Lonchura striata: one gene and its partner. The protein of the gene in region 1 purifies or fractionates together with the protein of each later gene. This does not show direct contact. Links are inferred from orthologs where the notes say so. Each region holds a gene or a part of one and is shown on either strand. Other genes may lie near its edges. The genes, in order: NAF1 and NOP10.

Evidence for each region.
Region 2: the proteins of NAF1 (region 1) and NOP10 purify together in Homo sapiens (co-immunoprecipitation; 6 studies listed by BioGRID and IntAct, with this or other methods). This does not show direct contact. The link is inferred for Lonchura striata from reciprocal best matches to the Homo sapiens genes NAF1 and NOP10.

Annotation. Positions count from the first base shown.
Region 1 is NC_134606.1:39,335,589-39,351,690, reverse strand, and holds the start of NAF1 (H/ACA ribonucleoprotein complex non-core subunit NAF1), read right to left. Parts: upstream 8,651-16,102; coding exon 7,884-8,650; intron 6,253-7,883; coding exon 6,117-6,252; intron 4,625-6,116; coding exon 4,531-4,624; intron 1,552-4,530; coding exon 1,469-1,551; intron 530-1,468; coding exon 369-529; intron 1-368. UniProt on the Homo sapiens protein: RNA-binding protein required for the maturation of box H/ACA snoRNPs complex and ribosome biogenesis.
Region 2 is NC_134639.1:2,429,229-2,443,809, reverse strand, and holds NOP10 (H/ACA ribonucleoprotein complex subunit 3), read left to right. Parts: upstream 1-10,376; 5' UTR 10,377-10,418; coding exon 10,419-10,472; intron 10,473-10,632; coding exon 10,633-10,773; 3' UTR 10,774-10,944; downstream 10,945-14,581. Other genes in the region: uncharacterized protein LOC110481739, read left to right, coding at 11,909-12,582, 12,954-13,010, 13,830-13,853, 13,957-14,069, 14,279-14,309. UniProt on the Homo sapiens protein: Required for ribosome biogenesis and telomere maintenance. Part of the H/ACA small nucleolar ribonucleoprotein (H/ACA snoRNP) complex, which catalyzes pseudouridylation of rRNA.

The DNA of each region.
Region 1 (16,102 bases):
ACTTCTTTAAACTCATGAATATGTGTGTCAGAGGGTATGGAGGAAGTATCAGTGAACTTTTCTGGTTGTGGTATTTTAGTTAACAGCAGCATAAAAAGAAAGCAAGCTTAGTATATTAAGTAGAATACGCTAAACTTTAGTAATTACAGCACTTTAAATGCTTGCAGTTTACAGCTACTCTTCATTGTTCTCAAAGGCAAAATAGCACAGTCTTGTTATCACAACATAGTCGAGAACATCTCATGGAAATATAAAGTGTTAAGCTTAGTTCTACAGTTTCTCACTGAAGACTCAACTTTAATCCAACATTTTTACCTATATAAAAAAAAAAAACATTATAACCAGATTACAACAGAAATCAGACTCACTGTTTTAGTTTTTCTGCAAATATATATTGGGTGAAGTCCTCTACTGATGGAGCAAAATACATGCTATCTTGCACATTAACACCTTTCTCTTTGATATGCTCAGAGTTGTTAAATCTTATCACATAAAAAGGATGTGAAACAGGACCAAATATCTCAAATATCTGAAAGAAATAAAATTAAAATGTTTAAGTAAACTACAAGTAGATTAGTAGTAGCTAATTTCATTGTAGACAATGATATTTAAGAAGTCCAAATTATTTTCTAAATGCAGCATCAAATAAAACTTCCTTTCACACTTTAGTTTCATTACCAAATTTTGTTCAAGTGTATTTCCGCAACTACTGTTTTTTATTACATGGAACATTTAAGTTCTCACATCCATAGTAATTCTTTCTTTTGTCAAACCTCTGTTTTTTGTGTCTGTTATGCTTTCAAGTCTCATAATGCTTGGGACAATCTCCTGATCACTTTTTCCTCCAAGTTCATCTTAACAAGATGCCTTTACAACAATTACTGCTTGTTCCCCAATTCCATGGAGAGCAGAGAATTCTGCCATGTTTGACAGAGCATCTGCAAAATTCAGGCTAAGTTTGTTCCACTCACATCTAGGATTTAAAGATATTTCAGTAGTACGCATTGTGGATGATGGCTTTCCTTCTACAGAAAATTCAGTACAACCCTCTCAGCAAACATTCTTCACTAGCCTTAAATCAGAACAGTAGAGCATAGAAGACAACATTGCTCATTTTTCATAGAACTTCACTCTAACCACTGCCCCTATCTGGCAGTAAAAGAGCACACAGCCTGTTATTCCAAGACATCATACATCTGAAAACAATCTCTTCCTCTCCACAAGCACTCTCAACAAACACTGGAAACTCACCACATACTGTAGTTCTGCAAGGATGCAATTAATTTCAAGTTAGGAATTCTTGGGATTAAATAAACAGATGAATATAGCAAAAGTCAAAGGCACTAAGAAAAACTATATATTAAGGAAGTATTATCTTTCATTTAATAGCCTGCAACTCTACTTTCTAGAACACTAAAGAATATTTCCAATTTTATATTGGAATAACAAGTTTTTATTTTACACCCACCTTTCCTACTGCTTGCCGATCTTCTTTAAAAATTATGCTTTCCTCATTTACTGGAGGTAGGCCTCTCAGTGATTCAATTATTACTAAAATGGAAATAAAAAAATTAATTAGAACTTTATGTTTTAACAGCATGTAGTTTATTGTGGTAAAACTTAACAAACCACACCACTACTTGTCTACTTAAGTTTGTAGAGCTGCAACCAAATATTCTTGCACATGTGTAAAAGTACTTAGAATCACACACCCCCTCTCAATTATACATGAGTGGTAATGCTAATATTGGTTACAGAATTATTGTTCTCTGGGGTAAAGAGAGAAAGAGTCCTAAGAATCATACCAGAACACAAAACTGTCTGGCAGTTCAGTCACAGTAGCAACTGATGGTGTTTATATATGCATATACCCCATCTGTTAGACATTCTGCAATTTAATGCCATAGAAGTCTCGTAGTACATTTGGGCCTAATGATGATTGAACTTCTCTACCTGAAAAACAACACAATGCTCAATTAAGCTTTCTCAATGACTGTCCATCAGCAAATAAAGTCACTCAAGTATACAGCATCACTCAGGCTCAAATAAAAGCTCAAGATCATCACTGCTAAACTTACATAAAAGGACTTTCAGCAATCAACATGTCACCAACCTAAAAGCTACTGCTACTAACGCAATCAGCAAAAAACTTAACGTGCCAAACAAGGAAATGACAATTCCACAGGCTTAACAGTTCACTGAATTTCAAGAGAATTTGTGAAATCAATTTCTCTTGTGCCTACCTTTAAGATAAAATATACAGTGTATGTAACCTTATGTGTTGTTCAAACCTCATGAGAAAAATACCTTAGCAAAAAAAAAGCAGACAAAATCCCCCAAACATCAACACAAAAAAACCCTACACAAAAACAACACCAAAACCTCAGATAATGTTCTCAACTTGATTCACCACATGCAGCTCCCAGCATGCAGCAGGCTGAGGAAAAGATACAACGCACCAGTCCAATGAAACTTAGGAGAAACACTACCACCTCCAGCCTGACTTACAGCTTCCCCTACCCCAAACCATCCTGAATTATCAGCTTCTACTCCTGCAGGGCCCAAAGCACAGGGAAAGTTTCTCATATCCAAAGCTGTTTACTCTCCAGGTCCCAACCCACACAGTGAATTTTTCTCTTCTCTTTAAGTACCTTGACGCAAGATACAGCACAAGTTTTGTTAAATTCTGATACATTGAGCAGAAGTTCATAGAAAATACTGTCATTTTGCTTTTAGCTACCGCACAGCAAGCATGAGCCTACACTGTTTTAACCTCAAATTTACCTCACAGGATGAAATATCCACTTAGAAGTATCACTCACTGCAAACTGATGAACTTGGACGTTTGCTACAGAGAACAGCAAGAAATTCTGAGGGACATCAAAGGGACAGAAAAAGAATACTCACTTATGTCAGAATAATATTGGTGGCTTCCAAATGAGGAATCAACTCGCCTCAGACTAGATACAAACTTGGTATACAGAGGTATCAATTTAGTTCAAAAATAAAAAAAAAATCCCCAATCAGCTGGCATCCCTAATATAACCACAAATCAAGTGAAATTGAGGGCTGTTTTCAGAAGAACTGAAAACAAACTAAAATGTGGAGAAAGAAAAGTTATAAAGCAAGGTAATAAAAGCAAGAAAATAATCCCAAATATCCTGGGAGTTTATCCCATTTATATGGTTTTATTTCACTATGATTATGAGCTTGTTTTCTAATTTTCACCAAAAAATTTAATGCAACACTTTATAGATGTACATTACATGAAGTAGGATGCAGCCTGGTAGGTGAAGAATTCGCCTACCAGTAAACTGGTATTTGAAAAGATTATACTCACCAGTAAGGATTAGAATTAAGGATGGTTTTCAAAACTGCAGTCTTTAAAATAGTTTTGTTTATACCTTCACATTTTAAACCAAAAGTAAGAATAATAGCAAGTATAATTCAACTTGTTTTTAAAACTTGGTTTCAAACTACCATTTTAGCTGAAAGCAACATTCTTGAAGTCCCCATTATTATCAATACGCAAGAAAGGACAAAGTAGAAAAGAACTAGATCACTACCTTCCACACCCTCCTTTTAGCTTCCTGTAAATGAATGAAATTAAACCTCACCACAATAAAATAGAGGACTTGCCTGTATTATCTTAAGTTTTTTAAAAGAAAAATTAATAGCAAAAGTTACTTACTTTCTTTTGTACTACATTCAGCATAAATACTGTAACTTCAAAATTGAACTTAATTTCTAATTTGCATAAGCAAATTGCTTGAAATGCAGTTCAAGCAGAATGAAACACTTGAAATAGCTTTAATACAAACATACTGTGAATATTTTAGTAATATGAGCTTCAGCAAAATTTTGATTTCATTTATCAAATACTGAGGTCCCACACAGATCCAAAAAGATCCCTAAATCTCTATGCCTGTGGTTAAGTTTACATCCATTCAATATCTAAAGCTCACCCTCCACCTATAAATCATGTTAGTCACACCATCATCTGACTGCTGACAACGGGCAGCTCAAGGTACCAGAAGTGGAATGAATAAATATATAAAAAAATAAATAAATGAACTTCCACTGTTGAATAAACAAGTCTTTTACCTGTCCTCATATATTAACAAGCAAGCACTTGGGACTGCATTGTATTGTATCTGCGCTTTCAGTTATACAGCTCCTATATATTCAGGGATTATTCAAAAATAGCAACTACAACTGGAAGACTTTCTTAAAACACTTAAATACAATAACTGTGGCCAGTATCAATATAAAAGCCATAATACACAACAGAAATAAAGGTGTTTGAATTAAAAAATTAAACATGGAAGTCACACAGAAACACATGCATATAAGCCAAACAAAAGGTAATTGAACACAAATGCTAGTTAGAATTCCAATTCAGCAACCTGCTACCCCCAGAAATGGGATGCTGCAGGACTGACACTTTGAAGGACCAGCTAAGAACACAATTCATGCAGAGATATACAGAAATTATAATAATTAAGAACACAGCAAACATATCTTGCCTACCTAGCTGCTCAATCACGCTGGAAACTGTCCCAAAGAGTTTCAGTTCAACATTATCTGGAAGAATTATTGATAAGTCTTCAACAGGAGGCAGTTTCTGCAAACATCAAGTCAATGTTTACAATATAATATCACACAAAGGCACTTACCACTTTGTCACTGCAGAAATTTGACAGTTTGGAAAAATCCCCTGGCATTTTTAAGATTTATTGTTAAAAAAACTAGTTTGATTTGCCTCTTTCAGAATCATCCTAAATGAACTCATCTTAGGGGACCACCACTTTTGAGAAAATCTCTCCTACAGAGACACTACTCTATATATTTCCATCACAACTATGGCAGAAGCCAGTTTTATTTAGCAGGAGAAAGCCAACAATTGACAGGCATTTCATTCACAAGCCATGTACAACACAATAATCAGAAATCAAAAAATAAGACCACCTGCAACAACACTCAATGTATGCTAGAAGAAAAATGTACACAGCAATATAGCAATATAGCATAAAAAATGTACACAGCAATATAGCATAAAATGCACCAGATGTGTATCATCTGATTTACAAAATGGAGTCTGTCCATTTACATCATGGCTTGGATCACTATAAAAGATGTAAACATCACAACAACTTATACAAAGAATTATTTTTAGCTGAAAGCTGCATTTGGTACTAGACATCAGAGAGAACACAAAAAACCAAACTTCAGATATAATAATGAGTGCTACACAATATTCAAATAGGGGTTTTCCCATATAAGGATCAAAATTTACTTAGTTCACTGCTAAGACTTAACTGAGTCACTTTTATAACAGAACTGAAACACCAAAGACAAGCAGGAAGATAAAACTGTGATCCTGTATCTCAAAATACCTTCTGCCACATTATATACAGTATCTGCCAATCCTTGTTTCAAAGCAAGAGATTTCTGAAATGGTTCCACTAACACTCCTTAATACATATACCTGTAAAACACGATTTTTTATATTATTAACTGTGGTGGGTTTTACTGCAGAAAAGCCAATTTTCTTCACAGTGGCTGTTACAGGGTTGTGTTCTGGATCTGTGCTGGAAACATTGCTGACAATATAGAGATGTTTTCATTATTGCTGAGCAGGGCTTCCACACAGCCAGGGCTTTTTCTGCCTCCCATGCCACCCCACCAGTGAGGAGCTGCAAAAGGACTTGGGAGGGGCACAGCCAGGAGAGGTGACCTGCACAGACCAAAGGAACATTCTATACCATGTAACATCATGCTCAGCATACAAAGCTGGGTGAAAAAGGAGAATGAGGGACATTTCCAGTGATGCTGTTTGTGTGCCCAAGCAACAGTTACACATGATGAAGCCCAGCTTTCCTGGGGATGGCAGAACACCTGCCTGTCCATGGAAAGTGGTAAATTAATTTCTGGGTTCTCTTTGCTTGTGTGGGTGGCTTTTGCTTTACCCACTAAACTGTGTCTAGTTCAGCCTTGGAGTTTCTCTTTTACTATTCTGATTCTATCCCCATCTTGACACAGGAGGACTAACTTAATATATAAATTTTTAGCTGGGTTAGTAGAAAAGGGTTTAAAAAATACTGCATTGTACTTACATCAATAGGCAACTCATCCTTTGTCCTAAGACAGTAAGATCTGTTATTCTTTTCATTTGGATGATCATCTTCATCAGATACTGCTGATGAAGATGAAGAGAAGAGTGTAGCTGATGAACTATCTGAATCTGTATCACTATATTAAAAAAAAAATATGGGAGTTACAATACTGCCTTCTCACAGTCACTGTTCTTGTAAAATCCCAACATTAGCATAATGCTGAATGAAAGTTAAGAAAATACTTATTCCAAGTAATGCATCTTGCAGTCAAGGGGAGAAAATTCTATTTTTTGTAAATAAAATGGATTCATTTCATAATTCATGTCCTGTCCAAATCTCCTGGTAAATATTCACAAAGTAATTCAGTATTTCTCACTGTCACATGTGAAGAGATATTTATTGTCTTAGACTCTCAATATTTCAAGTAGAGTAAGAAACCAGTCCTTATTCATGTCAACATGCTTGTTTTAGCAAAGGTCCAAGTTCTTCAAGGGCTGGTGGAAGAAAAAAATGTGGAACAATTGATCCTAGTAACTGAAGAAATACGAACTTAACACATGAAAATACAATGAGATAAGCAAACTTATGCAAAATAACCTTTCTTACCTGAAGGAAAAAAAAAAAACCCAAAAAACCAAAAAAAAACACTTCTTTCGAGATTCTTGTAATACCAGTCTCATTCCCAAGTAAGTGGGTGGCCTTCTATTGCTCCTTTCTTTATTACAACAAATGCTCATAGTAATGACAAGAAATAAGAGCACCTCTCCAAATAAACCTTTTGAAAAGGTCAAATATGGACTTCTTGGAACAGTATCAATACAACAGAAAGACAAAAAAATCAGACTAGGATACCGACCAGTGAAGAAAGTTAAAAACAAAACAAAGACTGAGATATATGCAAAACAGATAAGTTGTAGTTATTAAAATTTCATCTTTAATGTTTATCAGCACAAGAGATTTTGAAAGTAAAAAACACTACACATGGGTGAAGCCCCTGAAGTCAGGAATTTCACTATCACTTTATGATATTCAAGGAAACTTTGAACCAACAAAAGTACTTCTGAAGTCAAACTTTAATCAATTAACTCTTAATGAAGCTTGGTATCTTTAAAAGAAGATTCTTAGACTTTATTTTAGCCTTCTCTAGTCAAAAGAAGTACATGGCCATCCTGCTGTACCAGCCAAATAAGAAAACACAAGACTTACTGCAACAACCGAAGTGTGCAGACTTCTAACACTGCAACAGAGCCCACATTTAACCTTTCACCAACTATACTGAACATCGAAGTAGAGATGCCTCAAGTACAATATGGAACCATATTAAATAAAAAATAAACGTGAATGAGCTTTTCCACTGAGATGCCAACATGGTATGGTGTGCAGACTCGCCACCTTTAGTCCTGCATTCAGGTTTTTCAGCAGTCCTACTGCGGGTGTCCTGCCCCAAAAGCCGCAGGTGCGTTCTGTTGAGGACTACCTCAAGCCAATGGGGCGGGCGCCCCACGCTCTCCAGGCGGCAGCCACCAAACTCATGCCATCGTTACACCCTACACCCTTACAGGCACTGATCTGGAGACCTAATTTAACAGGCTCCCAGACAAATGTAACTGGAAATTACACCTTTGATGGGAAGGAGCAAGCTCCAGAGGGTGAAACAGCGAGACGGGGGAGACACACCGGGCTCTCTGGCGCTCAGCCACAGCCCCAGCGGCCCGCGCCGCCGCCCGAGGCCTCGGGGAGCACGGGGCGAGGCGGGGCTGGACCCACCTGTCCGAGTCCGACGAGGGCACGGCGGCCGCGGGACCGCGGGGCCAGGCGGGCGGCGAGCGCCGCGGGCCCGCGGCCGGGGGCACAGCGCCTTGGACTTCCCCGGCGCCCTCCGCAGGGCTCTGCACCAGCTCCCGGTCGGCCTGCCGCTGTCCGCCCGGCTCCACGGCCGGGTTCTCCAGCTGCTCCACCTCCTCCAGCTGTCCGCCCGGCTCCACGGCCGGGTTCTCCCGCTGCTCCACCTCCTCCAGCTGTCCGCCCGGCTGCACGGCCGGGTTCTCCCGCTGCTCCACCTCCTCCAGCTGCCCGCCCGGCTCCACGGCCGGGTTCTCCCGCTGCTCCACCTCCTCCAGCTGCCCGCCCGGCTCCACGGCCGGGTTCTCCCGCTGCTCCACTTCTCGCTGCTTGCCTGGCTCCAAAGCCAGGCTCTCCAGCTGCTCCACCACTTCCCGCTGCCGGCCCGGCCCCACAGCCGGATTCTCCAGCTGCTCCATCATCTCCCGCTCCCGACCCGGCCCCATAGCCGGGTTCTCTACCTGCTCCGCCACTTCCCGCTGCCCGCCCGGCTCCATGGCCAGGTTCTCCAGCTGCTCCACCATCTCTCGCTGCCCTCCCGGCCCCACACCCGGGTTCTCCAGCTGCTCTAGCACTTCCTGCTGGCAGCCCAGCTCCACGGCCGGGTTCTCCAGCTGCTCCACCACTTCCCGCTCCACCGTCTCGGGCTGCCCGCCCGGCTCCACGGCCGGGTTCTCCAGCCGCCCCTCCATTCCCGCGCCACGCGCCCCGCGTCACCGCCCCCGGCGCGCGCCACTTCCGGCCGCCGCGAGCCGCCCCCGTGCGCGTGCGCCGAAGCGAGGCGGGCCCGGGCCAGTCCCGGGGCGGCTCCGGGCAGGGGGAGCTCCGCGGCCGGCCTTGGTGTCTGTGGCGGCTGAGTGAGACACAGAGCTAGAGCTGCTCTTACTGTGAACCTGCTGGGAGGGGTTCTGTGCTGACAACACACAGAATCATGTAGTTAAAACTAAAAAAAAGCCCAAAAACAACAACGACAAAAAAGCTGTAGAATACCAAATTACTGTACTAATAGTAGTTTGTAGTACATTGACGTAGTGACTCCATACTGATGGTGACTGTACAATAATGCCAAGCTCTCCAAAATAAATCTGTGTTCTGGTTCACCATAAATACTTACGGCTTTGGAGCTTTAGGTTTTCCGAGGTGTCTGTCTCATGCAGCTCCGTGGGGATGGGAAGGACTCTTGGCATCCCAGGATGTGGCACACGGTTCCCATAGGAGGGAACCGACTCAGGTCCCTCCTGACTGCTCTGTGTGGTTGGTGTCACACAGATAAAGCTTTTCCTCACAAGGGAACACAGCAGAAAAAGCACTACGTTTTCTCTATAGTGCAATTCATCCTTGGGAAATGCCAAAAGATGTTCTAAAGGCACACAGCATCAGGAGATCACTGTTAGGGTGACAAGTCCCTTTAACCCAGCCTCTAAAGTGTACTTTGACAACTGCGCTCCTGGGCCAGCGCTGTGTGTCCCTGACCACACCACACTGTCCCTTGGACCGGATTCCAAATGGGCTTCATTACCAGGCAACAGAGTACAGCATAGGCCCCAGGAGAATAAGTAGATAAAAACAGATAAATACTTGAAAAAGTTGCATGTGATAATGCTGGAAGTGCCAGAGGAGACTGGGACTTGAATATCTGATGAGAGCAGAGAATGATACGTTTTCCATGTAATGACCTTCTCCTCCAGGGCTGTGTGCCCCACAGCTCAAATGGCGCCCAAAACATTTTATTCTTGTCCAGAATGGCAAGGCTACATTGAGCCCACTGTCACAAGAGTGCTTCACTAATAACCAACACAGGCTGAAGGGAGCATCTGATGACAGAAGATTTGTTCTCTGGTTGTTCCACTCTCCATTATGACATAACAGAAGCAACCAGCAGATTTTTATTTAGTAGGAAAGTCATGCATGTCCAAGTTTGTATATAATTTAATTCAACAGTACTTTTTTTCAGTTGTCTACAATTATGTATAGGTCAAGCAGAACAGGTATGTTATGAGCATTTGATAGTTTTGCACGGTCATAGGCAAGGAGCCTGTATGAGCTGTACGTTTATACAGCAGCAGTAAACTCTCACTGCACAATTACTCAGAACACCTAGGGTAGGAATCATCTCCACCTTCAGTGACAGCACTGGGATCTTGAGATGAGTGTACGTGGGAAGCATGTTCTGAATATTACTGACCTGTACTGCAAGCTCTTTAACAAAAGAGAGCTTTAGAAAATCATGCAATTAAATGTCAACAACAATTAATTGTCAATTGCTTGGAGATTAAATATTGAACAATTATAAAAATGGTTTCTATTGAATCTCACTGGCAAATATATTTTAATCCCTAAGAAAGTGACAGAAATGAAATATGTATCCAATTAAACAATGAATAGATGCAGAATCCCACTAAAATCAAATTCTGCAAAACCAGGTTTCATTTTAAAACTAAGCAAAGACAGTTTATTATTAGACTGGGATTTCTTTTTTAATTTATTCATTTGTTTTGTCAGATGTATCTGAAATAGACTATAATACAAGATTTGTGTGTTTGTGTGAAAAAGTTGATCAGTGTGACTGGGAAGGAAATAATTTCACCAAAGCAGACAAAGCCCTTTCATCAGCCAAAGCCTTTCCTAAAAAAGGTAAAATAATTAATGCCATAATGTATGAAGGAATTAATTGAATTAAAATTAATTTTATTTATTTATTATCACACATTGCTTGGAAATGTGAAAATATATTCAGGTCTTTATGTTGCATTTATGTAAGTAAAATTCTTCATCTGTCTTATGAATCATGTCTTTCCTGCTTTTTAAAGTATTTTAGTAAGTGATTTATAGCTTTACTCTGGCACATAGATTGTGTTATGACAGTTTCCTCTGTGTTTGTGCAGAACTGGCAGCATCTTTCAGACAAGAAAGATACTTTATTTCATCTGAATGCTGCCACTTATCCCCCTTAACATATAAAATAGCATTGCTCTTAGAATGAAGATATTGAGAGGTTTAATGCAGAGTAAACATCGTCATCCACTCAGCAAAGGCATGCAGTAAATAATCTGCAACGTAACAGCATGAGCAAAGAGATGTTCTAGGAAAAGAAACATTTCAGAGATGAACACTTGAATCACAGTAGTTCCAACGCATGTTTTCAAGGTCTGAGCAGTTAAGAAATGTCACTGCTAGGACTGGAATCTGACATCATCTGTCAAGGCTGGGATAAAAGGTACTGTAAGCTCTGTTTTCTGCCTCCAATCTTTGATGAAGCTCTCTGGAGGTGTTGTTTCCTACATTTATTTCTTCATTCTTGCTGCTAAGATGGGTGTGCATAATTGTTCCCATTGCACTTTTAAAGCTAAAGTGATGGAACTCAAACTATTATTACAATGTTTTATTGCAATGCTTTGGATGCAATAAAGGAGTCTGTTGGAAGAAATAGTTTCATCGTCATATCTGTCCTGGACTGGAATATAGAAAACAGGTTGGAGATTTCAGTGTCCTGCTTATTATGTCTTGGGAAGAAAAGGTACGAATAAGAAAGGAAGTAATGTTTCTTTATATATTTTAAAACACTATTCACTGTGATCTTTATAATTTATATATTTTATGCTTCCATATGTGAATGACTATACACAGTGATATCACTATATCACTATATCACTATATCACTGTACTGTAAGTAGTATAAGCAGCTGGTAAGCCTGCTTGATATATTTTTTTGATATCAATAAAGCTTCCAATGCTGTCTCTCATAGGATCCCTCTGGATAAAATGTCCAGCACACACTTGGATAAACGTCATACAAAGGGTGAGCAGCTGCCTCGCGAATTGGCTGCAAAGGTTCATCGTGAACGGGGTGACATCAGACTGGCAGCCTGTCACAGAAGGGGTTCTTCAGGCTTCCATTGTAGGGTCAGTGGCCTTCAGTGTCTGCATAGACAACTTGGGCACAGGACTCTAAGGGCTCTTAAGTTTGCCTGTGGGAGCAACCATTGACTCCCTCAAAGTCAGAGAGGTCCTGCAGAGATGCAGACAAATTAGAGGGCTGGGTAATCACCAACTGTATGAAGATTAAGGAACACAAGTTTTGGATTCTCCACCTGGGATAGGAAAATCCTATATTTATGTGCAAACTGGGGAACAACAGGCTGGAGAGCAGCACTATGGAAAGGGATCTGGTGGTCTGGGTCAATGTCAAGCTGAACATGAGTGATTGTGCCCTGGCAGCCAGGAGGGCCAGCCCTGTCCTAGGGGACATCAGGCACAGCATCACCAGCCAGGAAAGGAGGGGATTGTCCCACTCTGTTCTGCACTGGAACAGCCTCACCTTGAGTGCTGGGGGCAGTTTTGGGCACCACAATATAAGAAGGGTATAAACTGGAGAGCATCCAAAGGAGGGCAGTGAAGATGGTGGAGAGTCTGGAGGTGAAGCTGTGTGAGGAGCAGCTGAGGTCACTTGGTCTGTTCTGCCTGAAGGAGACTGAGAGGAGACCTCATAATGGTCTACAGCTTCCTCACAAGCAGAAGGCAGAGGGGCAGGCACTGATCTCTTCTCTGTGGTGACCAGTGACAGGATCCAAAGGAATGACATGAAGCTGTGTCAGGAGAGGTTTAGGTTGGATATTAGGGAGAGTTTCCTCTCCCCAAGGGTGGTTGGGCACTGGAGCAGGCTCCCAGGGAAGTGGTCACAGCACCAGTTGGCAGAGTTTAAGAAGCATTTAGACAATGGTCTCGAGCAAATATGTGACTCTTGGGGTGTCCTGTGCAGGGCCAGGAGTTGAATTTGATGATCCTTGTGGGTTTCTTCCAACTCAGGTTGTTTTGTGATTCTGCAAGCTTCTAGAGTGGCATGGAAGAGGAAAGGGAGTTGTCCCACAACAATAGGGAAATCATGAGCTTAAATTTCCAACAGTTTTGAAGCTACTGCTCTGATCCCAGAGCCTTTTTTTTCACTCTGCCTGAACTATTAGAAGCTAAGGTATTCATGGTCAGGAACAGTGGGAGGGAAAAGAAATCAGATCAACAGAATTTTCTGTGTCCCTATTGCTAGTCATATTTCATTCCACCCAGATGAATCAATATTGTAGCTTGCACAGCTGAGATATCTAGTACAGAAATGAGATTAAAATAGCTACGGTACAGAATGTTTTACTCATTTCAAAGCTTAAAATTAATGTACAGAGTTAAATTGCACAAATTTCTTAGTTCTTTTTTCATATAAAGAGTTGGGCAGCTTATAACTAGATAAAAAAATTGAACTTCGAAGGATTTTTTTTTCCCCAAAATACATTTTTAAATATGGAAAAAATGTACAATGTTATTTACCATATTCTTATTGTTGTTTATTTTTCCAAATATAGCCAGTAATCTTTCCATGACTGAGCTGCCCACAACCAATTTCAACAGTAGCATTCCAAATCCTTTCACAGACCAATGGACAAGTTCACCTCCAATTATTCTAAGAGTTTGTACAGTTTGTTTGTCAATGACATCTATTTATAATTGGAGTCTACTGCATTCTTTTTCTACTTTATTTCACTCATAATTTTGAATTATACTAATATAACCATAATTTAATTTGTTACAAAACCAACTGGATCCAGGCTGCATCTATAAATGTGATTTATTCTTGTATGTATAAACAGCTCTGAAATTTCAACTGTCAGCATAGTCAGTGTATTGGAATTTGTAGGGACTCACATTTGGGCAGAGTAACTCAAGTAAATTTGAGTGTGGCTTCCCTGTAATGACCTCTATGTAAGAAATAGTAGTTTTAGTGAACTGGGGTTTTTATCTGATTATCATGGTTCAGATGTGTCTTCCACAAAAGTGAAGTTTTTGTAGCTCTCAGAGGCCTTTACCGACTGTTTGGAGCCGGGAAGGCCTCTCTTTCTGTCCAGATATATGCTCTCAACCAATCCATCTCATCTTGTCTGCACAGCCTAACATTCTTTCCATGCTTGCAATGTTTTGGGTAGACAGGCACTTATTAAAGTGCCAATATATGACAGACATTAAGCATGAAATCAGTGAACAAATTAAAGATTGTAAATTTTAATCCACTTATGTCATAATTGTCACTTTATTCAGATGTTTTACTGTAGATTTCTGAACACTTTACATCTCAGACTGCATTTCTTACATTGTATTTGGATAACTTTAATCTATCATAAACTGGCACTGTCAATAAAAGAGGTGGTTTTACCTTTTCTCCAGTTCTTATTTTCTGAGTGCTTCATTGTGCCAGCCTTTCTGTCCTTGCAGACACGAGTAAAACTGAAAGTTGTATCTCCTTGTACTCATAAGGAAGAATTAGTTGGTTTATGTTGGGTTTTTTTTTTTCCAAAATGTAAAGAAACAGGATAACAGAAGGAGTATGAAAAATTCTAAAAAGTCCCTTTGAAACAAAAACTGGTCTGCATGGAATACCATAAGCAGGCACTTCTTTGGAGTTTGAAGAAAGCAGTCTAGCATAGGGTAAGAAGAATATACAGGAGACCAGCAGGTGAGACAGTTACATATCTAGACTCATTGAATGGCTTTTGGGAAATCATTATGTCCTTAAGAATTTTATGCATGCTCATTTGGCCTTCATATCTTTCCATTGCCTTCAGACTGAACCACCGAGAATCAATTAAGCTTTTGGCTTAATTATAATTCTCTGTACTCTTAAAAAATCAAACAACAAAAAAAAAAGTTTCCAACACCTAAAACTTACAAAAAATAAAAATATTTCAGGAAATGCAAGCATGTCTGCCTAGCAAAAATGGCTACTGAAAGCACACCACCTTGATGCTCCATTTTAATTACTGATTCCTCACTGATAGGTAAGTGTGCATCACCTTGCCCTCATGAGAGCTGCAAGTCAGTTCCAAAGCTCGAAAGTAAAACTGTGTCTGTAGAAAAAAGTAAGTTTAGAAAACCTGTCTGGTGAAACATTATCTTATTCTTGAGAGAAATTATAGTGCCTATGAGCTCAATATCTTCAGACAAAACTGAAAATCTTGTAGATGGAATCTCTCATAACATCACCAATAAGGCACAAACTCAGTTGAGATCACTTACTCAGTGATTATTCTGAAAGTAGTCACCAGAAAAAGCAAGATCGCTTCACATCACATACATAAGTTGTACCCAAAGTGTCAAAATTATCTGAAGAAAGTGGAAAGAAACTAAAATGAATATATATTGCACAGGGCTTTCCTAAATTCTTTGCCTCTGCTTTTCATCCTACATTCTGGTTTCGCATTCAGGGAAGTTGTGCTTCATGCTGCCCCTCCATCTGTCCCAGGAGTTCTCTTATCATGCCATGTTCCTTTTCTCTTTCCTTTCCTTTCCTTTCCTTTCCTTTCCTTTCCTTTCCTTTCCTTTCCTTTCCTTTCCTTTCCTTTCCTTTCCTTTCCTTTCCTTTCCTTTCCTTTCCTTTCCTTTCCTTTCCTTTCCTTTCCTTTCCTTTCCCTTTCCCTTTCCCTTTCCCTTTCCCTTTCCCTTTCCCTTTCCCTTTCCCTTTCCCTTTCCCTTTCCCTTTCCCTTTCCCTTTGACTTAATCATGCTCTTTTGTAGTAATTTGGTGTTGTTGATAGGCTCTTTGAGAACCAAGGAACACAACTGTAGAAGAGATGTGGCTCATTATGTTCAGGCTCCTGCAATCTCAGACAATCATGTGAATCATGGTTGGTCCAGAAGGACTAGAAAAATGTCCACTCTCTACATCGCAAAATGGAAAAATATTTATTTTTGTTTGCTGAACTGTACAATAAGATGAAAAGCAATGCTACTACAGTGCCTCAGAAAGAAAGTAAAACAGACCTTATGAAATTATCAAAACCTTTCTCCCTGTCCACTGAGTGGCCATTTGGTACAGAAATTACCTCAGTTTTGACCAGGCAACAGGAGAGGGTACCGTGCAAATGGGATCAGCAGTACCAGTATTCAGTTCCCACTTATTTAAGCTGGTGAAAAGTAATCCATATTGTTATTGTTATTATTATTTTCATCCTGAACCATGAGTCCAGAAACTCTATGTGAGTTTCTGAATTCAGATCTCTGTTCTATTTGCAGATTAATTTTTTTAAATGAATTTTGAATATATAGAAGAGCTGACGTGCTTAATCTGCCTGTAATACATCTTGACTCAGATGAGGATGGATATA
Region 2 (14,581 bases), on another chromosome or scaffold:
GTCTGAGCTGAGCCCAGAGGTGCAGATGGAACAGCCGTGCACAGGAAGGCTTGGTGGGAAGGATGATCCAGGATCCATAGGCCTGGCAGCCTGAGCTTGCTCCAGGGGAAGGCCTTGGAGCAGATCCTTCCGAGTGCCATCCCATGGCATGTGCAGGGAACCAGGGCGTCTGCTGGAGGGTGGGAAAGCTCTGCAGAGGGACGGGGACAGCTGGGGCCCCTGACGGGGTGTTGAGGGCATCTGTGCAGGAGTTTGGGGGGGTTGATGTTGGTGGGGTGTTGGGGGAGGAGTTGTCTGGGAGGTGAGAGCTCTAGGCTGGAATTAGAGTCACTTTCAAGGCAGCATCTGTGCTTTGGCACAGCTGTGGTTATGGAGGGCAGAAAGAATATTTATGACTTTTCCTTTTCATGGTCCTGATTCTCCTGAAGGGAACAAGAGGGGAGAGCTGTACTTTATTGGACAATTAGGTATCTGTAGCAGGGGAGGATTAGCCCTTTTGCCATCTACTCATTTGTTTGAGCTACTTTTGTACCAAGGAGTGGACTTTCATTTCTTGAGAGCTTTTAATCCTTAAGAGACCTCGGGTATTATCATCCCTTCATAGAAAACCATTTGCAAACCAAAGAATGGTCCTTGGTTTTGCCCTTTTTTGTGTAGTGTTATGTTCTGTAAAGTGACCCTCAATGGATGAGGTTAAGGCAAATGAGTTGTTACTTTGAGATGGGAAGCAAAATTCCAAATCTTCACCTCTTCAGGCCATCCCAAATAATTTGGGAAGTTTTCAGTGTTTTGGAACTACTTGAGTTGAACAATGGGATGTCAAGCTTTCCTGAATTGAGGATTCTTCCTTGCCAGATTTTCCTGTGCCTTTGCCGCTAAGGTGTTTTTATGCTGAAGGCAGTAACTTCAATGAGAAAATAATTTCAGCATGGAGTAAGAGCTTCTGACAGAGAGCAAGCGCTGCCGGCAGTTGCTCCAGGTGCTCCTGCCAACAGACCCTGCAGGCAGGAGCACAGCCCCCAGTGCACCTGGGCTTTGGCTCCCTCTGGCACAGAAGCCCCCGGGGGCACAGGTCTCTGGGGCAGGACACAGCACCAGCGCTGCCAATGCTCGGGGGGTGGCAAGTCTGCTTGGGCAGGGACTCTGCCTCACCTGCTGGTGTCAGCGCTCCCTGGGCCCCAGGGCTCAGAGCAACATTCCTACCCTGGCCGACAGTTCCTTGTGTGTGCCACACCCGTAGGTTTAGGATGGCCAAGGGCTGGGACGTGTCCCAAGGAGGCCGTGCCAGATTCCATGGAAGGCCCTGTGACCTTCCCAGCATGGCTGCGTCGGCAGCCCTGGGGGCTCCTTCTGCTGCCCTGAGCCCACAGAGCAGGGCAGCGTTTGCTGATGGTCTGAGTCATTCCTGAAGACCCTGTTGGGCTGTCTCAGACACTTGGGGTGAGGGATTCCTTCCAACCTGAGCCACTTTGGGTGGGCCAGGGGCGGCCATAGTGCAGGGGGCAGTGTGTGCAGGGGCCCTTTGTGACACGCTGCAGCATGGTCACTATGGCATGGAACAGTGTGTCAAAGGGACCTTTGTGACACGTGGTGACATAGGAGCTGACGGTGACAGGACCATGCCACAGTGCTCCAAGCACGCGACGGGACAGGACGGGACAGAGCAGTGCTGTGAGGAGCCCCCGCACAGGGCACTCGTTCGTGTCTGACCCAGAGATTTCTGAGGCATTATTCCTGCAGCTGTCGAGGCCAGACCACAGGACTTGCTGACCCGTGGCCTTCCTAGGCTTCAATTCTGCAGGTGCCCTCAAGGGCAGAGCGTGGGACTTGGTGCCCTGGAGGCATCTCCCATCCCTGTCACCAGTGCCCTCGAGGCGAGAGCACAATCCTTGACAGGAGTCTCCTGTCCTTGTGGCAGGAGCCCTCGAGACCAGTGTGCAGGACTTGCTGTCTTGAGCCTTCCTGAGGCTTCTGTCTTGAAGGTGCCGTGCAGGCACAAAAGCAGGACTTGCTGACTCGGAGTTTTCCGAGGTATCTCTCCTGCAAGTAGCCACAGATCCAGTCACTGACATGGAGCAGAGACCCCCAAGACTGCCCAAGCTGGCCTGGGTGGAGAAAGAGGAAGAAGGCCCTGGAGCTGCCCCAGTGCACGAGACTGAAGAGATGGTGCCATTCAAGCAGCTGCAGGAGGGTGAGTGGCAGAGCTGGGTTGCTGGGCTGCATGGCTGGTGGCTGCAGCCAGCTTGGCCACAACCCATCCCATCCCATCCCATCCCATCGCACATGCCCATGGATACGACAGAAGCTGGGCTGGGGCTGAACCACATGGCAGCTCCATCCCTGGGGCATTGCGAGGTTCTCCCTGCCGGGCGAGAACAGGGCTGGGCTGTGTTCTCCAGCCTCTCCTGCAGCCTTTCAGCAGCTCTGGCCGCGCTCGCTCTTTACCAGATGCAGCCCTGGACCGGACACAAGAACAGGAACCCGCCCATGGCCGCTTCCGCAGAACAGCGCAGGTACCTGTGGCCATCCCCATCTGGGCTGGGCCTGCTGGCACTGCTCAGCCCAGCACAGAGTGGTTGGAGCACTCCATGCATTCTCTCTCTCTTCCTGCTCTTCTCCTGCAGACCATCTGTCAATTCATCACGTGCATTAGGCAGGAAGAGACCATTGGTGTGCGCACCGGGATCTTGGCAAGCTTTCACCTCTTCAGTGCTGAGACCAGTGCTGCCATGCTGAATTTGCTGGTGGAGAAGGGTGTCTCCAATGCAAAGCAAGTAAGCAGTCTGGGGCAAGGGCTTGATTGCCCCAGGAATGGTGTGGCACATCTTGCTGGGTCTGCTGGGCTTCCTCAGCCTGTGAGGTCCAGCCCAATGTGGTGGAAAGGGAAGCACTCCTCAGGGGAAGCTGGGCAAGTTGCTGCCCTGGCAGCTCTCCAAGTCTCCCTGTGCCTTCTGTAGGTGCCAGCCATGGTGAGGTACATCCACCAGTGGCTCACGGCCAACAAATCTGCTGAGCACAGGCTGGACAAGGCCCTTCTGGAGCTGACCAAGGAATACCCCTGTGACGTGCTGATCACTCTCTTGCGCTGGGCCCCATCGTGTGACAGGCATGGCATCCCCACCTGCCTTGAGGCCTTAGGCTTCACCGGCCCCCCCACCCCGTAGAGCCTGTCCCTGACAGACAGGTGGAGAGTTCCAGGAGCCTCTGGCCCCTCTGTTTTCCAGTCCTGGCATGTCAACTCCGGAGCCTGCTGCCATGCTCCCTCCCTGCCCCTCAGGGCCTGGGCCCACGTGGGCTGGCTGGCTGCTGCCAGCCAGGGCCAGGAGTCAGAGGCAGGGCTGAGGGCCAGTGCAGGCCCCTGCAGCTGCCCAGGCCACGCTGCTGTGGCTGAGACCCCCCTGACACAGAGCTCTGGCCCCACAGGGCTGCCGTGATCATGTGGGGGACCATCATGTCCTCGAGCAGGACCGCGGAGCCGGCGCTACAGATCCTTCTCGATGTGCTGAGCGCCTGGCCAGAGGACAGCGTGTACACCTCCGATGGGGACAGCACAGGGGTCTTTGCCCTGGCTGTGAGTTTCTGGAAGCGGCCTTTGCCAGCCCCCAGGCCACCTCTCCAGCAGCTTGCTCTCTGCCCTGCCCCCAGCTGCATCTCCCTGCCTCAGGCGCTGGGCTGAAACCTGGCTTGGGGGAAAGGTTCTGGGGCACCAGGCTGGCTGCTCCCCATGTGTCTCCCTTGGCCTCTCCCTCACAGGCTGAGGCCATGCCACATGCATGTCTTGGCACTGATTGCTGTCTCTGGCTGTTTTATTTCTTGCAGGCAACCTTGACACTGTGGAGGCTCTTCAATCTGACCTGGTGTCCACCTGTAGTGCTGGAGTATTTCCCCAACCTCTTTCTGCGTCTGCTCTTCCAAGCTTACATCAGCACGCTGAATATGCCAGAAGAGGTGGATACCTTCTGGAAGAGATGCCAGGAGCAACACGGCCTTGCCGCCCACCCCAACAGGTGCTCCATGCCAGTCTTCCCAGTCTCCCCATCCCTGCCATGCTCCCAAGGCAGGAGCCGGGCCTCCCAGCGTGACCTGGGCTTTGCTCTGCACACAGCTTTGCACTGCAGACCCTGAAGGCCCTGCTCTGCCAAATGCAGTACGAGGACGTGGTGCTAGCAATGGAACGCAGGTGTGCCTGGGACACACTGCTCTGTGCCAACACCCACCACTATGCAGTGGGTCTGCTGGCCAGGTGAGACCTCATTCTCCCCACCGCCCCTCTCCTTTGTGCCCAGATCACCCCACGCAGTCCCTGTGCTCATGGGCGGCAGGGCCTTGCCCTCAAGGGAGGGATGAGCAGACTGGAATGGGCTGGGAAAGGAGGGTGCCCTGGAGCAGCTGCCTCCCAAAGCACCCGTGCTGGGGAGTGCTCGGGAGAAGACCAGACTTCTGTGAGTCAGCCCTGGGAGAGGTTTGGCCACTCAGCTCAGGAGCAATGGTGCCTGTTTCTCCCCACCAGGGAGATGCGCCGTGTCTCCATCATCTGGTGTTGCAGCATGGCATCCTGCCTCTTTGACTTACTCAGCCAAGACAATTCAGACTGGGAACTGCCTGCCCTGGCCTTCCTGGTGGAGGTGAGCCCAATGGCCAGCGCTGCCTCGCTCAGCTGCCTCCCACACCTCTGCCCTCTGGTAGCCGCAGCTGCCAGGGATGGTGCCCTGTGCTGCTGCCTTGGCTCAGCCCTGTGCGGTTCTGAGCTCCTGCCAGCTGGGCACTCCTGTCACTGCTCCGTGCCTTTCAGGTCCTGGACTGCCTGGACTTGAGTGAATACGGTGAAAACGTCCTGCAGATCATGACAAGGCACCTGCAGAGCAAGTCCAGAGAGATGCGTCGCGTGGCGCTCAGAGGCCTCGTGGTGCTCAGCCAGGACCCCTCGATGGTGAGAAGGAGGCAGCAGCTGAAGCTGTGCTGGCAGCGTGGGGCTGGGGAAAGCAGCCCCCTGGGCTTGGCTGGCCTTTGGGAGCTGTGGCAGCTGCTTCCAGCTCTCCAGGGTGGCTGTTCAGCGGCCTGAGTACTCTGGGACAGGCCTTCGGTCTCTGAGCCCTGCAGCAGCAGCAGCAGCGTGAGGTTCCCCAGCCTTGTTTTCCACACAGAACGGAAGAATGTACAGCCTGACTGAAAGCCTTGGCAAACTCCTGCTGGCCGTGGATGAAGACATTGTTGAGATGACCGTCGTTGTTCTCAGCTCTCTGCTTTGCAACAAAGACCTTGCAATAGCCAGCCCCATTGCCCTGCAGCTGGCTGAGGCGCTCTGGCAACTCTTTGACAATGTAAGGCTCTGTGCCCCCAGCCACGGGCACCAGGCGCCAACTGGAAGCCTGGTGCCTTGTGCCTGTGCACAGGGGGTCCTGAAGCAGCTGTTGTGGAGGGGTTTTGCTTCCATTCCAACAGGACAACACCCTTGTGAAGCTGCTCTCCGTTCGCCTCTTCCAAGAGGTGATGAACTTGGTGGTGGCCAAGGGAAAAAAGCCCCTGAAGAAGCCTGTGAGCCAGAGCCTGCTCCCACTCTTCTTCAACTGCCACGATGAGAACTGGCGTGTGGCACAGGTGAGGGCTCCTGGGCGCCGGGGTCCCCATGGCAGGGGGCTCAGCTGTCTCCCCACAGCCTGGCTCCTCCTCATGGGCTCCAGCTCCCTCCTGGCCTTGGAACGGGGACGTGGCTCCTGTGCCCTGGGCTGCGGTGCCATCTCTGGCTCTCTGCCGCTCTGCAGGCCTCTCGGGAAACGCTGCTTTCTGCAGTAAGGTTCCTGAAGAGAAGGGATCTTCAGCAGCTGCTGAAGACGGATCAGATGTGGAGCTTTGCCGAGCGCTTGGTAAGCACAGCCCGGAAGCCCCAGCCCCGGCCTGGAGAAGCCGCCTGCCCACGGTGCCCAGTCTGTGCCCTGGCAGCTGCGGCCCCTGCCCAGTGCTGCCCGCAGGGGCACCGGCCGGCGCCCCACACGCCGCTGCCTTCCCTGGGCCGCGCGGGCTCTGCTCCAGGCTCCTCTGGCCCCAAGGCCGGTGCTGAGGGAGCCCCGAGGCAGCCGGGCTCTGCCGCGGGGCGGCACCGCGGCTCGCCGGGCCCTCTGCTCCCTGCAGAGCCCGGCGCCGGCGGCTGCTGGCCGGGCCTCGGCGCTGTGTGGGCAGGGGGAGCGGCGCCGGGCGGAGGGAGCGCCAGGCCGAGGGGCAGGGCCCGCACCAACCCTTCCCTTCGTGCCCCGCCGCTCTCTGCAGCTGGCAGAGGACAGGAGCCGAGCGGCCGAGCACCTGCGCCGGGCCCTGCCCTACGTGCAGAGCCCACAGGAGCCCCTGCGAGAGGCGGCCGTCAGGTTCATGGGTGAGCCACGAGCCCGGCTCCTTCCCCGCCCCGCCGCAGCTCGGCCCCAGCCCCGCCTGCTGCCCCGGCAGCAGCATCCGCGCTCGGCCATCTGGAGCCCCGCCTGGCCTCGGCGCTGCCGCCGCCCTCTGGCAGCCGTGCCCTGGGGCAGCAGGATGCGCCAGGGGCCCGGGCTGAGCCCTGCCGGGCCAGGAGCCCGTGTGGCCTCGGGCCGGGCAGCGCCCGCGGGCGGCAGCTGTGGCTCTGAAGCCAGCTCACGCTCTCTGTTCCCAAGGGATGGCCGGGCGCTGCCTCAGAGGACAGCAGCAAGAGTTCCGCATCCTCTGCAGGGGTGAGTGAGGCCAGCGGGCTCTCAGCGGGGGCTGCCGCTGGCAGCTGCCTTCCCTGGCCCGGCACGCACCAAGGGCAGCGTGGGCACAGCACACAGACCTTTTGGGGGGCCTGTGGCACATTCGTGGCCAGCACCTTCCAGCTCGCCCTTCTTGTCTCCTGCTTCCTCCAGGCCATGGCAAGAGCTGCCTGGCATGGACGTGGCAGGAGGGTCTCCCCATGTTTCTGCAGACGCAGGCTCTGACGGTGGCTCTGTTCCTCTCTCTCGTAGCCCTTCAGGACATGGCGGATGACGTCAGCCCTGCCATCTCATGCCTGGCCCTTCAAACCCTGTACATCAATTTAGCTGTACAGGCCATTCCCTCCTCCCGACTCCAGAATGTGCAGGATCAACTCCGCCGGCTCTGGAAGTCACGGCCTTTCCCGTGCCGCCGTGGCTGGCTGTCCTGCTGCAGCGCTGTGGAGAACTGATCCGCCAGGCTGCGTCTGCTGGGGCCACCTGAGCCTGCGAGGAACAACTGCCCTCTGCAAGCCCTTCCTTTCACCCCAGAGTAGCATTAATAAATTGTTGTTGTCATACCCGGAGGTCCAGGAGCTTTCTCTTGGTGCCCAGATTTTTCAGGCCAATGGGGAGGAGGGGAAAAAGGGCGCTTGCACTCGGCAAGTTGCCCAAGCCTGTGGTGGGCAAGGGAAAGTGGCCAAAAGCCTTTTGGCCTTTGGTGATCCTTTGGTTGAATGTTTTTCTTCCTGCATCAAGTCTTCGGGAGCTATGGGAACAAGTGTGTTCTGTGTCCATGGAACAGCAGAAAACGCCAAGATGTGTCTTCTTCCAGCACTTCTCTTGGCTCTTCCTTCACACTGCTGGCACCGTCATCAGAGACATGGAACAGCTTCTCTCATGCCAGCGTTATCCCAATCTTCTGCACTTCCCCAGGTTCCTCCCAGCTTCAGCAGGGAAATTCTCTGCTCGTGCCTGTCCATTCCCTTGCCCAGAAGGCAGCACCCACTTGTCTTTGGACATGAGCTGCTGGCCACAACCTGACAGGCAGCAACTGGAGCATTGCGCATCAGATGCTGGGCTGATGTTCTTTCCCAGAAAGCAAGAAAAAACAGAAGGACACAAGGAAACTTGACACTATATCTGTAAGAATGTCATTGTCCTCTGGAAGTCAACAGTGGATGGTGTTTTTGTGTCGCAGATTATCACTTCCAAGCAAAAATCATTCTAGGAAGGAGCAACAGCTTTTGACAGATACCAAGTGCGGCTACCAAGTGCTGCTCCAGGTGCTCCTGCCTGCAGCCACCTGCAGAAATGATCACAATTAGAGAACACCATGCTAAATTAACGAGGACAATTAGGGAACAGCATGTTAATTTCAGGAGCACAATTAGAGATCACCATGTCAAATTTCACGAGGACAGTTAAGAAACACCATGTTAATTCAAGGAGGACAATTAGAGAGCATCGTGTTAAAATTAATGAGGCCAATTAGAGAACACTGTGTTAATTTCAGGAGCACAATTAGAGAACACCATGCTAAATTCACGAGGACAATTAGAGAATATCATGTCAAAATTAACAAGGACAATTAAGGAGCTCTGTGTTAAAAATAACAAGGATAATTAGAGAACACCATGTTAATTTAAGGAGGTAAATGAGAGAACACCATGTTATTTTAATGAAGATAATTAGAGAATACCATGTTAATTTAATGAGTTCAATTAGAGAATACCATGTTAATGTAGGAGGACAATTAGAGAACACCATGTTAAAATTAACAAGGATAATTAGAGATCACCATGTTAATTTCAGGAGCACATACTAAAATATCATCAGAGGCTGTGAAACAGCAGGGCGGAGACACAAGAATAAATAAAATAAAAAAGTAAAACCAAAAAAACCAAAACAAAATAAAATAAAATAATATAAAGTAAAATAAAATAAATTAAAATAAATTAAAATAAAATAAAATAAAATAAAATAAAATAATAAATCCTAACCCTCAGGATGTCTTTGAGCCGGAGAGTGAAGGAGTCAGGCAAAGGAGCTCCCAAAACCTCAGAAATTTTAAAGAATGTTTGAAAACTGAAAATCGCAGATTATATGACTGGCTTTTGGCAAATATTAAAATTAATACATGATGTGTTATGTTGGAAAGATATGCAGTATTAATCTCTTAAATTTGGCTGTAATAATATTTTTTAAATTTGGCTGTATTAATCTCTTTTTCATTTTAATAGCGCAGTATTAATCTCTTTTAAGTTTTGCTGTATTAATCTCTTAAATTTGGCTGCATTCATCTCTTAAATTTCTCCTGTATTAATATCTTTTCAGTTTTGCTGTATTAGTATTTTTAAACTTTTTCCTGTATTAATCTCTTTTAAGTTTTTCCTGCACTAATCTCTTTTAAATTTTTCCTGTATTAATCTCTTTTCAGTTTTGCTGTATTAATCTCTTTTAAATTTTTCCTGTATTAACCTCTTTTAAATTTTGCTGCATTAATCTCGTTTAAGTTTTCCCATATTAATCTCTTCTAAATTCTTCCTATATTAATCTCTTTTCAGTTTTTCCTCTATTAATCTCCTTTAAGTTTTGCTGTACTAATATTTTAAATTTGCCTGTATTAATCTCTTTTATTAACCTCTTTTACATTTTTCCTGTATTAATCTCTTCTAAATTTTTCCTGTATTAATCTATTTTAATTTTTTTCCTGTATTCATCTCTTTTCAGCAGTGTGGCACATACACTTTTTAGCCTAGAGGACAATATTAAAAGAACAGCAACAGACACCAAAATCTCAAAAAAAAAAAAAACCCAAAACATTGTTGCCTCCTTCTCTGGAAATCTCAGATTTTCAAAGATTGATTTACGAGTAAAAGTAAAACTCCTAAAATTTCAACACAACGAGTTTTTCACAAATAACAAAATCATGACTATGCACACGCCTCAGCGCTGTCACCCTGCTGGAATTATTCTCCTTTTTTTATCCTATTACTGTTATTCTTATTATTAATAAACTTTAAAAACTCCAAACCGTCAATTCTGTTCCTCACACTTTCAGACCCAAACTTCCTTACTTTGAACCCAAACTCACTTTTCACACCAAAATTTTCCCCCTGCCTCCCTGGGTTGAATTTTTAAGGTCAGACTCCCATTTTTTAAAAATCCAGATTCTCCTTTTTAGGTCCAAACTGCTCCATTTTTCTGCTCAAACCCTGAATTATGGCCCAAATTCTCCATTTTTGGACCCAAACTCCCCCTTCTGGGGTCCAGACTTCCCATCTGGGCACCGAAATTCCCCTTTATGAGGCACAAATTCCCAAGATTTTTTTGTCCAAATTCTCCCTTTTTGAAACCGAATTTCCCTTTTTCGGTCCAAATTTCCCCTTTTTCTTGCCCAAATCCCCTTTTTGGGCCCAAATTCTCTCTTTTTGGACCCAAATCCCCCTTTTTGAGCCCAAACTTTCCCTTCCTGGACACAAATTCCTTCTTTCTGTGCCCAAATTCCTCCTTTTTAGACCCAAACTCCCGTTTTCACCCCAAAATCTCCTTTTTTGGCCCCAAATTTCCCCGCTCGGACCCGCCAGGTTGAGTGGTACTCCCCGCTCGCTTCCGGAACTGCATTTCCCATCACCCCTCTCTCCAATTTCCGGTGTAAACACCGCCTTCTTTCCTTTTCTCTTGAGGCGACTTCCGGCCGGGTGCCGCGCTGGCGCCGCCATGTTCCTGCAGTGCTACGAGAACGAGCGCGGGGAGCGCGTCTACACCCTGCGGGTACTGGGCGCTTTTTGGGGCGCTTTTGGGGGGATTTAGGGGATGGCTCTGAGGGGACCCGCGGTGTTTGGGTGTCCGCGGTGCGGGCTGGGGCCATGCGGGCCAGTTGGACTGTGCTGAGGGGGGGATTTGGGCTCTCCCTGACGCTCTGTCCCCACAGAAGGTGTCCCCGGACGGGGTCCCCACTCGCTCGGCGCACCCCGCCCGCTTCTCCCCCGATGATAAATTCTCCCGGCACCGCCTGGCCCTGAAGCGGCGCTTCGGGGTTTTGCCAACGCAGCGAGGCCGGACCGTGCTCTGAGGCACCGCAGAGATCCGCTGCGGAGCCCCGAGATGGCCCCGAGCTCCTGGGACGGATCTCCGCCATGAGAAAAGGTCAAATCGCCATGCCAGCGGACTGCACGGAAATGGGGGGGAAAGGAACGTTTTAAAGAGGAGGAAAAATGAAGTATTAAAAGTCGAGGGTCTCTGAGTTTTGGTATCCAAATACCTTGGGTTTTTTTTCCTGTTTTGGGGGTATTTTTGTGGTTTTTAGGGTCTGGGGAGGGAATTTAGAGGGGTATTGGGGGAAGCGCTAACGGGGCTCTATGGGGCGCGGGTATAACAGGGCTCTATGGGGCGCGGGGGATGATGGGAGTTGTAGGTGCGGGTATAACTGGGCTCTATGGGGCGCGGGGGATGATGGGAGTTGTAGGTGCGGGTATAATTGGGCTCTATGGGGCGCGGGGGATGACGGGAGATGGAGTCGCTGCTTTAATGGAGCTGAATGAGACCGCGAGGCATCACGGGAAGTGGAGGCATGGCAGTAAATGCGCGCGATGGGCGCCGCGAGGTATGATGGGAGCTGTAGTCCCGGAAGTGGCTGTAGCGGAGCGGTTGGGGGTCCGGGAGGGCACTTGTGGGTCTACAGGGGCACCCTGTGGGGTCGGGAAGCCCCTGGGGGCACCCGGGGAGCTCTGAGGGGTGTCTGTGGGGCGCAGGACGCGACGGGAATTGTCGGGCCTGAACTCGGCTCTGAGGAGGCTCTGTGGCCGCGGGGCATGACGGGAGCTGGAGTCCTAGCTTTAATGGCGCTCCGTGCGTACCGCGATGCATGGTGGGAGCTGTAGTCCCTTTGGTGGCACTCGAAGGCCTCTGTGTGGTTTGCGGCATCTGCGGGTCCGAGGAGCGTTCGGGGGTCCCGAATGGGCTCAGGAGGCACTCGGGGGTCCCGCAGGGTCTGGGGGGCTCCTGTGGGGCGCATGGAGGCGGATAAGGGGCGCCGGGCCTGACGGGACTTGTAGTCCTGGCTCGGTTAGGCCGCTATGGGGCCGCTGTGCACGACGGGACTTGTAGACTCAAAGTCGATAAAATGGTGCCGGCTCCAGGCCCCGCCTCCAGGTGCTGTTCCCGGGCGCTGATTGGTTGCAGACGGTGATGGGCGGGAGGCTCAACCAATGGGAGGCGGCGGAGGCGGGGGACCAGCCCATTCAACCCCTCCAGTCCCTCCCAGTACATCCCAGTTCATCCCAGTACAGCCCCAGTGCCCCTCCAGTTCATCCCAGTACAGCCCCAGTGCCCCTCCAGTCCCTTCCAGTTCATCCCAGTACAGCCCCAGTGCCCCTCCAGTCCCTCCCAGTTCATCCAAGTCCAGCCCAGTCCATCCCAGTACAGCCCCAGTGCCCCTCCAGTTCCTCCCAGTTCATCCCAGTACAGCCCCAGTGCCCCTCCAGTCCCTCCCAGTTCATCCCAGTCCAGCTCCAGTGCCCCTCCAGTCCCTCCCAGTTCATCCCAGTACAGCCCCAGTGCCCCTCCAGTCCCTCCCAGTTCATCCCAGTCCAGCTCCAGTGCCCCTCCAGTCCCTCCCAGTTCATCCCAGTACAGCCCCAGTGCCACTCCAGTCCCTCCCAGTGCATCCCAGTGCCACTCCCAGTTCGTCCCAGTATCCCCCAGTGCCACTCCCAGTTCGTCCCAGTATCCCCCAGTTCATCCCAGTCCTTCCGCGGCCAAACCTCTGCCCCGCCCCCATAGTTGATCACGCCCTTTTCATTGACCACGCCCATTTTCCATTGGCCACGCCCCCTCCAAGTTCTCCCCCTCCATTTCCAGTTCTTGCGGCTGCTCTGGGAAGGTGAGTGGGGCCCCAGTGATTCCCAGTTCATGCCAGTAATTCCCAGTAACCCCCAGTGATTCCCAGTTCATCCCAGTAACTCCCAGTAACCTCCCAGTAACCCTCCAGTCACTCCCAGTCCATCCCAGTAACCCCCCAGTTCATCCCAGTCTCTCCCAGTTTGCCCAGTTCTCTCCCAGTAGTCCCCAGTTGGTCCCAGTCCCCCCCAGCTCCCCCCAGTTTGTCCCAGTTCATCCCAGTTCTGCCCTGCTCAGGAATCCCAGTGACTCACCGGTCCCCAGTTCCCTCCCAGTTCCCTCCCAGTTTGTCCCAGTTTGTCCCAGTTCCCTCCCAGTTTGTCCCAGTTTGTCCCAGTCCCCTCCACCCCCCAGGGATCAAAGGTCACGGAATGGAGAGGGAACAGCTCCAGGCACTGGTGATACTGGGAGGTACTGGTTTGTACTGGGAGGGACTGGGGGGAACTGGGATGGAACTGGGAGGGAACTGGGAGGGACTGGGGGGTTACGGGAGGGACTGGTTTGTACTGGGAGGGACTGGGACACACTGGCACAGAGGGGTCTTTGTAACTGGTTTATACTGGGAGGGAACTGGGGGGTTACTGGGAGGGAACTGGGAGGGACTGGGAGGGTTTCGGGGGTTACTGGGATGGACTGGTCCATACTGGGAAGATTTTGGGAGTTACTGGTCCATACTGGGATGGACTGGTCCATACTGGGAAGATTTTGGGGGTTACTGGTCCATACTGGGATGGGCTGGTCCATACTGGGAGGATTTCGGGGGTTACTGGTCCATAGTGGGATGGGCTGGTCTGTACTGGGAGGATTTCAGGGGTTACTGGTCCATACTGGGATGGGCTGCTCCGTACTGGGAGGATTTTGGGGATAACTGGGGGGAACTGGGCCCAGTCCCAGCCCAAACTGGTTTAACTGTTGTCCCCTCCCCCTCCCAGTTCTGTCCCTGGCCAGAGGCGACACCCCCAGTGAGTGACTGGGATAGATGGGACAAACTGGGACAAACTGGGACGGACTGTGACAGACTGGGACAAACTGGGAGGGACTGGGACAAACTGGGACACACTGGGAGGGACTGGGACAGACTGGGAAGGACTGGGATGGAAAGCCCAAATTGGTTTATACTGGTCCATACTGGTCCGTGCTGGTCTGTACTGGTCCATGCCGGTCTATACTGGTCCATACTGGTTTTTACTGGTCCCTGCTGGTCTCTCTGACCCCTCCCTTTCCCCCCAGATGCCTCCAGTCCCTTCTAGTTAGGTGAGTGCGGGAACTGGGAGGGTCCCCAATGTCCCCAAAGTGTCCCCAAATGTCCCAAAATGTCCCCAAACTGTCCCCAAGGTGTTCCCAAATGTCCCCAAAGTGTCCCCAGCTGTCCCAGTGTCCCTGTCCCTGTCCCAGACTGGTGTCACCTGCGCGTCGGTGGCCTCACGGTGGCTGCGGTGCTGAGCGTGCTGGGGGTCCTTGTCCTGCTCAGTGAGTGCCACCCCTGTCACTGTCACCTGTGTCACCTTCTGTGTTATCTGTGTCACATTGTCACCTGTGTCACCTGTGTGCCACCCTTGTCACCTGTGTCACATTGCCACCTGTCACTTTCTGTGTTACTTCTGTGCCTTTTGTGTCACCTGTGTGTCACCTGTGCCACCCCAGTCACACTGTCACCTGTGTCACCTGTGTCCCCTCAGGTGGGAAATGCAAGTGCCAGAGCAAGGCCAGGTGAGACCGGGGGACATTTGGGGACATCTGGGGGATTTGGGGACATCTGGGGACATTTGGGGGATTCGGGACCATTCGGGGATACCTGGGGACATTTGGGGACATTGGGGACATTTGGGGACATTGGGGACATTTGGGAACATTTGGGGACATTTTGGGGACACTTGAGGACATTGGGGACATTTGGGGACATCGGGGAATGACACTGGGGACACTTTGGGGGATATGGGGACATTTTGGGAACCTTGGGCACACTGAGGGGGATTTGGGGT